Canis lupus familiaris: one gene and its partner. The protein of the gene in region 2 interacts with the protein of the main gene of each other region in a biochemical or structural test. Links are inferred from orthologs where the notes say so. Each region holds a gene or a part of one and is shown on either strand. Other genes may lie near its edges.

Evidence for each region.
Region 1: the proteins of PTGES3 (region 2) and HSF1 form a complex in vitro, tested with the Homo sapiens proteins (2 studies listed by BioGRID). The link is inferred for Canis lupus familiaris from reciprocal best matches to the Homo sapiens genes PTGES3 and HSF1.

What each region holds. Positions count from the first base shown.
Region 1 is NC_049234.1:38,494,801-38,499,120, reverse strand, and holds the end of HSF1 (heat shock factor protein 1), read right to left. Parts: intron 3,790-4,320; coding exon 3,714-3,789; intron 3,642-3,713; coding exon 3,580-3,641; intron 3,454-3,579; coding exon 3,357-3,453; intron 3,265-3,356; coding exon 3,128-3,264; intron 3,044-3,127; coding exon 2,768-3,043; intron 2,387-2,767; coding exon 2,306-2,386; intron 1,467-2,305; coding exon 1,361-1,466; intron 1,279-1,360; coding exon 1,213-1,278; intron 1,131-1,212; coding exon 1,058-1,130; intron 981-1,057; coding exon 775-980; 3' UTR 525-774; downstream 1-524. UniProt on the Homo sapiens protein: Functions as a stress-inducible and DNA-binding transcription factor that plays a central role in the transcriptional activation of the heat shock response (HSR), leading to the expression of a large class of molecular chaperones, heat shock proteins (HSPs), that protect cells from cellular insult damage.
Region 2 is NC_049231.1:1,239,707-1,243,515, reverse strand, and holds part of PTGES3 (prostaglandin E synthase 3), read left to right. Parts: intron 1-357; coding exon 358-447; intron 448-2,916; coding exon 2,917-2,979; intron 2,980-3,809. UniProt on the Homo sapiens protein: Cytosolic prostaglandin synthase that catalyzes the oxidoreduction of prostaglandin endoperoxide H2 (PGH2) to prostaglandin E2 (PGE2).

The DNA of each region.
Region 1 (4,320 bases), on a different chromosome or scaffold from region 2:
GGTGGGCTCTCTCTACTAAAGACCCTGCGGCCAAGGCAGGGGTGTGACAAGGTGCCTGGGTGGTGGCCTCAAGAGCCCTGCAGCCCCTGCCTCCTGGTAGCTGTCACCCTGGGCCGTGCTGAGGATGGGGGGTAGGGGACGGACGCCGGGGGCACAGAGCATCAGGTGGGCTGCTCTGGTCTGTTGCCCCCCACCCCTCCCCTGCTCCCAAATCAGCCCAGTGCCTTGAGACCGCGTTAAGAGCAGGGACGGCTGTGCCAGGAAGATACACATGGCGTGCCCGTCCACGCTCTTCACCCCCCCGCCCCGGTCCCCTTGTGGGGAGGGTGTTCCAGCGGGTCCATCCCACTGCCCCCGTCCCATCCTTTAATAAAGAATTGTGAGCCACACGGTTCCTGTGGAGTGAGGTGCGCACAGCTCTGCTCTGGACATCTGCCTTCCCTCCAAGGCGGCCACCACGGCCAAGCCCCCCACCCCCTCCCCACCTGGGGGTGGCGGGAGGAAACACGCGGGAGGCCACAGCGTACAGTCTGTCCTTTATAGGTCTCTGCCAGTCTCGTCCGTCCGTCTGTCCGTGTGTGTGTATATCTCTATTGAAGGGGTGAGGGGGACTCTCGTGTAAAAACCCAAAATCCAATCCTGACTGAATCCCCGCAGTGCTGGTCAGTCCAAGGTGGCTGTAAAGCCTCAAGCCAGCCAGGCACACAGGGCTGTGGCCCTCGCTGCCGACCGGGGTCCACGCCTAGCCCTTGGCCAGCCTTCCTCCTGGGGCCTCTAGGAGACAGTGGGGTCCTTGGCTTTCGGGGGCTCAGAGCCCGTCAGCAGGGAGATGGTGGGGTCATCTGTGTAGTCGTCCCCCTCGGAGAAGTAGGAACCCTCCCCCAGCTCGAAGAGCACGGGCAGGTCGCTGCTTCCCATATCCACGGAGCCCGGGTCCACCAAGAACAGGGGTTGCGCCGTGTAGTGCACCAGCTGCTTCCCTGGGGGTGGGGGCTGGGTCAGGGCACAGGTGTGGGGGGCACGGGCGGGGCGGGCATGGGCTCGGGGCTTGGCTCACCTGAGTCAGGGCTGCTGTTCTCTGCCTCAAGAGGCCTGGGTGGCTCCTGGGGGGAGAGGAGCTCCTGGATCTGCTGGGGAGCAGGGGGCAGAGTGAGGCTCCGGCTTGCCGGCCCACCCCGCCCCAGGCCCCTGCCCCCCTCCCTGCCTACGCACGCTGGCCAGGCTGCTGTCAAGGTCGGGCAGGCTCATGTCGGGCACCGTCACGGAGGGGCTGAACAGCTGCGGGGAGGGAGGGCAGTCAGGCCACACTGGGAGCCCGCAGCCCGCGGGGAGGGGAGGGGAGGGGAGGGGAGGGACTCACGTCCAGTAGGGCGCTCGTGTCCACGCTGAAGCCGTGGCTCGTCAGCATGGTCTGCAGGTTGTCCAGGTTGGAGTCCATGGCGTCCAGGTGGTCACTGAGCTCCGTCCTAGCCGGAGTGGGTGGGGCAGGTAAAGTGGGGCTCTAGGCACCCCCAGCCGGATGCCTTCCTGCCGGTGCTCACACCCGCCATCCGAGAGGGGCTGCCCGTAGCGACGCCCCACCCTGCCTGGGCTCCCGGGGGGGCCCCGCTGCACAGCGTGTGCGGGAAAAGGGCCAGAGCCTTGGCCACGGCGGGGACGGTAGCTCAGGCCACGCCACCGGCATGTCACCGTGAGGCCCAGTAAGGCCTCTGGAGGCACTTCACACAGGGCCAACGTGGCGGTGGGGAGGGGGCAGGAGGGGTTCAGTGTGCAGGACGGGCTGGGGGCAGTTTTCAAGGCTTGACAAGGTCTTGCCTTTCCATTGGAAGGCGGTAGGGACAGGGAGGGGGAACTGCAGCAGGGTGCGGAGGGCTGGTCCGACGTGTGCACGCGTGTGTGTGCCCCCGTGCATGCTGGGAAAGAGGCCTGGGTCAGGAGGCTGTGGCCAAGAAGGCCCTGGGCCACTAGACGGGCGGCCACCAGGCCGACTCTGGGTGGTGTCCTTGGGGCCCCGCCTCACCCCTCCCCGCCCTGCGAGGAAGCCAGTGCACACAGCAGCCAGGGCCTCGGCTGCACCGGTGGCAGCTGCCAGGCTGGGAGGCCCATCCTGGTCAGTCGGCGACCTGGGCCACTGGCTCAGGCCCCAGAGCCTGGGGTGGGGGTTGCCCCCCGCTGCAGAGGGCCCGGCGCCTGTTCACCGGGCAGGGCCGAGTGCTCATGGCCAGGCCAGGGTCTGGTCCGAGGCTGGGGAGGGGCCTGAGCTCTGGCGGAGCCCTCCTCCCTCCCCAGTGGGGACGGCGCTAACCCTGGCTGGACTCGGCCATGCAGAGAGGAGGGGCAGGGGAAGAGGCGGGCGACCCCAGACATCTGTGGAGCGCGAGCCAAACTGCAAGATACAAAGACAAGAGCCCCCCGATTGCAGGTGGGGGCCAGGTGGACTCCGTGCCCCCCCGCCCTTGCTTGCCTGGCCTCTGGGGCAAGCCCCCTGCTGGGCAGCAGGACAGGTGCAGTGGCCTGTTGCAGGAAGGGGTGACAGCAGCAGCCAGAGTGGCTCAGAGAGCAGGTGTCACAGGCCTGCGGGGCCACACCCCCTTGGCTCCTGAGACCCTGGGGACGTGGGCCCAGCAAGCTCTGAGCTCAGGGCCGGGTCTGCTGGTGCGTCCTCCAGCGACCGTGTGCCCGCCGCCTGACGACCACCCTGTAGCAGCCCCTCCAGGACAGTCCCAGCTTCCAGAGGCTGTGGTGGAGGTGGGTGGGGGGCACTCACTTGTCCAGGCAGGCTACGCTGAGGCACTTCTCAGGGGCCGGGGCAGGCGGGGGCGAGGGTGAGGGGCGGCGGCCCCCTGCATCCGTGAGGGGTGTGGTTGGGGCGGCGGGCGCAGGCTCGCTTTCCCGCAGGATGGAGTCAATGAGGGCGGTGGGGGACAGGGGTATCTCCACGACTGAGGACTGGTGTCCAGGACTGGCCTCCTCCACCCGGGGGCTCCGAGGAGGGCTGGGGGGCTCCTCCTTGACGCGTACCACGGGGCTGCTGGACAGTGGCCTGCGTGTGGGGGCGCACACATCAGGAGCTGGCTCTGTGAGCCCACCCCTCTCCCGACGGGTGGGAGGACGACGAGGCCCCCACCTCTCGTCTACGCTTCCGCCCGGGGAGGCCAAGGGACTGCTGGGGGCCAGTTCAGTGATGTCGGAGATGATGGGTCCGGAGCTGGCGACGGCATCTGGGGAGTAGAGGCTGGAGCTGCTGTAGGCCGGGGAAGGAGCCTGCCATCAAAGGGAGGTGACCTATGTGGCAGGAGCCGCAGCGGCGCCTGCCCGCGCCCCCCCGGGCCAGGCCTGCTGCACCCGGTGCTCACCGAGTAGGGGCCCGAGCCGTGAATGTGCTCCAGGGAGTACTGCCGGCCATACTTGGGCATGGAATGTGCCGAACTGCCGTCGTTCAGCATCAGGGGGCTGTGGGGGGAAGGGGCGGGGTCAGGTGCCTCCCCCGGGCCTCGGCCACCCAGGCCTCAGCCAAGAGGACACAGGGTGGCCGGGGGCCCCGAGCTGAGGAGCAGCCCCCCCGCCCCTGGGCCTCACATTTTCCTCTTCACCCCCAGGATCCGGTTCGACTGCACCAAGGAGATGAGGAACTGGATGAGCTACGGGGGAAAGGCACAGTCAGCCCAGCCGAGGACGGGACCTGCAGGCACCCCCCGGGGCCCGCCGCGCACCTTGTTGACGACTTTCTGCTGCTGGGCGTGCTTCTGCCGCAGGCTGGCCACTTCCCGCCACAAGGCCTCGTTCTCGCTGTAACACACCGGGTGCAGTCAGCAGGACTGGGGGGCTCCGCAGACACCCCCCACCGCCCGCAGGTGTGGGTCATGTGTGCGGTGCTCTGCCACAGGGCCAGGGCGGGACAGACAGAGGTACAGGTGGAGGATAGTGAGGCTCCCAAGGAAGGGGCATGTTGGGTGCACCCCAGGATCCTGGAGGAGACCCCTGTGGGGGCACACAACCCGAGTGTCTGCCCCCCTGAACCTGAGGCGAGGAGGGAAGGCCTGGGGTACGGTGCAGCCCAGCTGTTCAGGCTGCAGAGTGGCTGATGGGGGTTGTCGTGGGCCTTTAGGGAGCTCAGGGCCCATCACGGGGCCTGTGAAAGGCTCAGAAGGGGCTTCAAGGGGTATGAGTGCCACTGGAGCACCATCTTCCCAACAGGGATGCACGGGGCTGTGAGCAGGCCTTGCCACGCCTCCTGAATGTCTCACTGACATGGAATTGACCCCCTTGGCCTTGTCCCGAGAGGTACCCACGTTCTGGGAGGCCAAATTCACCTGGCCC
Region 2 (3,809 bases):
GAAGCCCAGTGTGGGGCTTGAACTCACAACCCTGAGATAAAGACCTGAGCCAAAATCAAGAATCAGAGGCTTAACTGACTGGGCCATTCAGGTGTCCCTCTCCCCCCCCCTTTTTTTAAATTATGATTAAGAACTGTGAGAGAAGCTTTGTGAAACTATCTTGACTATTAATTGCATTTTACTTCATTCTGATTTTTTTGTAATCTATTATTTTTTTTGTTAATTTTTTGTCTTTTTTGTTAATTCCATGCCTCATTAGTATGAACCTACAGTCCCAAAAATATTGTTTAAGGTACATACATACATACCTGTACGTATAAGTTAACCTAATTACAAGATGTTTGTATTGATCTATAGCTTAATTGGCTTAGTGTGGACTTCAATAATTGGAAAGACTGGGAAGATGATTCAGATGAAGACATGTCTAATTTTGATCGTTTCTCTGAGGTAAGTTCCTATAAGCGCATTTTACCACCTCTCAGTACATTTCTATGTGAATTTAATTTGGTTTTAAAGCACCTTAGTGGTACTTAAGACCTAATTTTTTTTTTACTTTAAAGGTCATTCTGCAGCAAAACAAAGTAAGATCTTAACAATGATCATTTTATCCTAAAGTTTAACATTCTTTTATAATTCTTTTAAAAATTAGTGGTAAGTTCTAAACTTGTATACAGACAAAAATAAACCGTATTGTCAATGCAAATATAACTAGTTTTGGGGGGTGGGGTGTTGGTTTGTTTGTTTTTACAGCCAGTTGTTATTCTAGTATTGAAACGGATTTTTTTTTTTTAATTTTATTTATTTAGAGAGAGAGAGAGAGAGAGAGAGAGAATGGCTGGGACACAGGCAGAGGGAGAAGCAGGCTCCATGCAGGGAACCCGACATGGGACGCGATCCCCGGATCTCCAGGATCACACCCCAGGCTGTAGGCGGTGCTAAACCGCTGCGCCACCGGGGCTGCCCTGATTTTTTTTTTTTTTTTTTTTGAGCATGGATTACTTTGCATTTTAGAGCCATGTAATATGAATATAAACTTTAAACAGAAAAATGGTAGTGAGATGTGCATGATGAGTGGTGTGTAAGGATGTTTTAGTTCGCAAAATTAAGGATTAAAGTAAGCCTTTTTTTTCCAAGATGTCATCCAAATACATATTGCATGGCCAAAGGGGGGGGAAAATCATTGATCTCCCTTTAGGTAGACTAAGCCTTATGAAATAAATGTACTGCAGTAAACCTGATTAGAAAAACAGAATATTGGGATCCCTGGGTGGTGCAGCAGTTTGGCGCCTGCCTTTGGCCCAGGGTGCGATCCTGGAGACCTGGGATCGAATCCCACATCGGGCTCCCGGTGCATGGGAGCCTGCTTCTCCCTCTGCCTATGTCGCTGCCTCTCTCTCTCTTTCTCTCTCTGTGACTATCATAAATAAATAAATTAAAAAAAATTAAAAAAAATAAAGATTTAAAAAAAAAAAAAGAAAAACAGAATATTAGGTTGTAAGTTGAAGATGAGATCCATTTCATGGCTATTTGAAATTTTAATTGACTAGGTTTTGTTTATAACCCTTCTTTGAAAATTAAGGGCTAAAAGGAATGAATTCCCAGTGTCATGTATGCAACTGCTTATTCAACATCTCACATGGTTCTGGCACCTTGATTTCAATTTAAAGAGGAAAGGGAAGATTGGAAGATTCTCTTTATGCTATTCGTATTTCTTACCTGTAGTAATTGGTGCCACCATTTTACCCAGCTCTGCATGTCACAGCTTAACACTGTTTTCTCTTACTGTCTCCATCTAGTATAACATTAACAGCTATCTTTTGTTCTGTTTTTTGTTTTACATCTTAAATAGTTCTTGAATGTATTCAGTTCATTCTATCTCTATTACCATTGTATCCTCAACAGCTAGCATTGTGTTTGGCACATTTTGAGCATTTTTGCTGCTCAAAGAAACTTAACCGAAGTGTTCAACAGTACTGTAGGGAAACTTTATTAGTTATTCATATTATTCAACACCAGGTTGCCCAGAACTTTTATACTGAGCAATTTGAGGATTAGGTAGCTTTTAAAGGGCCCTTCTAACTCTAAAGTGGAGGTAAGCATAGATTTTTGAAGCTTTAATTTTTTGTTTATAAAGTTATGTATGATTATGTGAATATTTTAAAATTTAAAAAATTAACAGAAAAGTTGTCCTTGAAGAGAGAAGTCCCTCCCCATCTGTTTTTAGTTTGATTTTTTGTATCTTTTTAAATAATATACTGCTTGATTTGTGATCAGAAATTAAAGATAGTAAAAAAAAAAAGAAAAGAAATTAAAGATAGTAAGTTAGTATTTCATGTAAGTATGCTGTGTTGTTAGTCCCAACATCTTGTGAGTATACAAGAGTACATACACAAGGGTATTATTCTCCATAGTATATGTACCTTTTATTTCAAGAATTATGTTTATTTTCTGTTTTTAACATGTTACTGCTGTTCAGTCTTTGATTTAGGATTCAGGCCTTTTATACAATGTAATCATCCTGAGGGTCTTTATAATACACATGCCACTTAGCTTAAGATATACAAAGCTTTACAACTACAAATGAATCCCATTCTTTTCCTTAGGCACCAGAGGTAAGCACTCTTCAGGATTTCGGTGTTTAATTTCTGCATCATAGATAAATATTTGCTAGATAAATTTTACTAACTTCACTTTTCTTCAATGAGAACTTAGTCTTCCCTATAAGTTGTCAAGATTTTATGTAATTACCTATAAAAATCTACCTTTTCCAGCAAGGAAGGTACTTAACATTTGTTTTGCTTTTTTTATTGGTGGAAATCTATGACAGACTTAAGGTGTATTCTGGAGCTTGCAACCTCTAATAACTAGGGCTTAATTTAACATCATTTTTAAAACTAATTTTTACACTTCAAATAGATGATGAACAACATGGGTGGTGATGAGGATGTAGATTTACCAGAAGTAGATGGAGCAGATGATGTAAGTCTATAAATTCTTTTCTCTGTTTACTTAAATAGTAAGAAACAATGTATTTATAGGTTGTTTTATATAGATTCAGGATTGCTTTTTTGCCACTTCTTGTTGGGTTTTTTCCCTAAGAAATACAGGGAAAAGCAATTTTGAAATGTGCTCATTTTTGAAGGATAGGTATCTACTAGGGAATAGATGTCCCATGGACCATTCTTCAAAGGACCAGATTTCAAGAGAATCACTGCATGGAGACATCATATGCCGTATTCAATTAAGAATTAGCTTAGAGATTATCTTGACTAAGTTAAACAGGTTTTGCAGCAGGATTGATCAGAAACCATAAAGTAGATGGACCTTTCTGAATCTTTAAGGATAAACTGGATCACTTTTCTCAACATTCCCCCTGTTGGCATCCTGCTAACATCTTCAAGAAAGTTGTTCGGTACAGTTTGAAAAATATGTAGACAACTCAATAGCTAGGATTGGAATTCATTTTGTCTTGTATCAGTCCAGTAGTTTTCACAGTGAGCTGTTTTCCTCTTCCATTGAATGCCAAGGGAAAAGAGAAACCATTTTATACCAAGATAAGTCAGGAATTTAAGGGATGAGCACCAATTCCCATCAAAAGGCACACACTGTACAGGAAGGTAGATCCTCAGCAATTATGTCTCTTCATCTTAAGTAAACCTGTTAAGTTCAGTGATTATATTCATAAGCTTAATATAACCACATATCTTTACTACTTTAGTGAAAGTACAGTGCTTCAGCTTTTTAAGGCAAACTGTTCAGTTAGTAGAGGAATGTTTGATCAACTTGGTAACTTTTGAAATTCTTCTTTC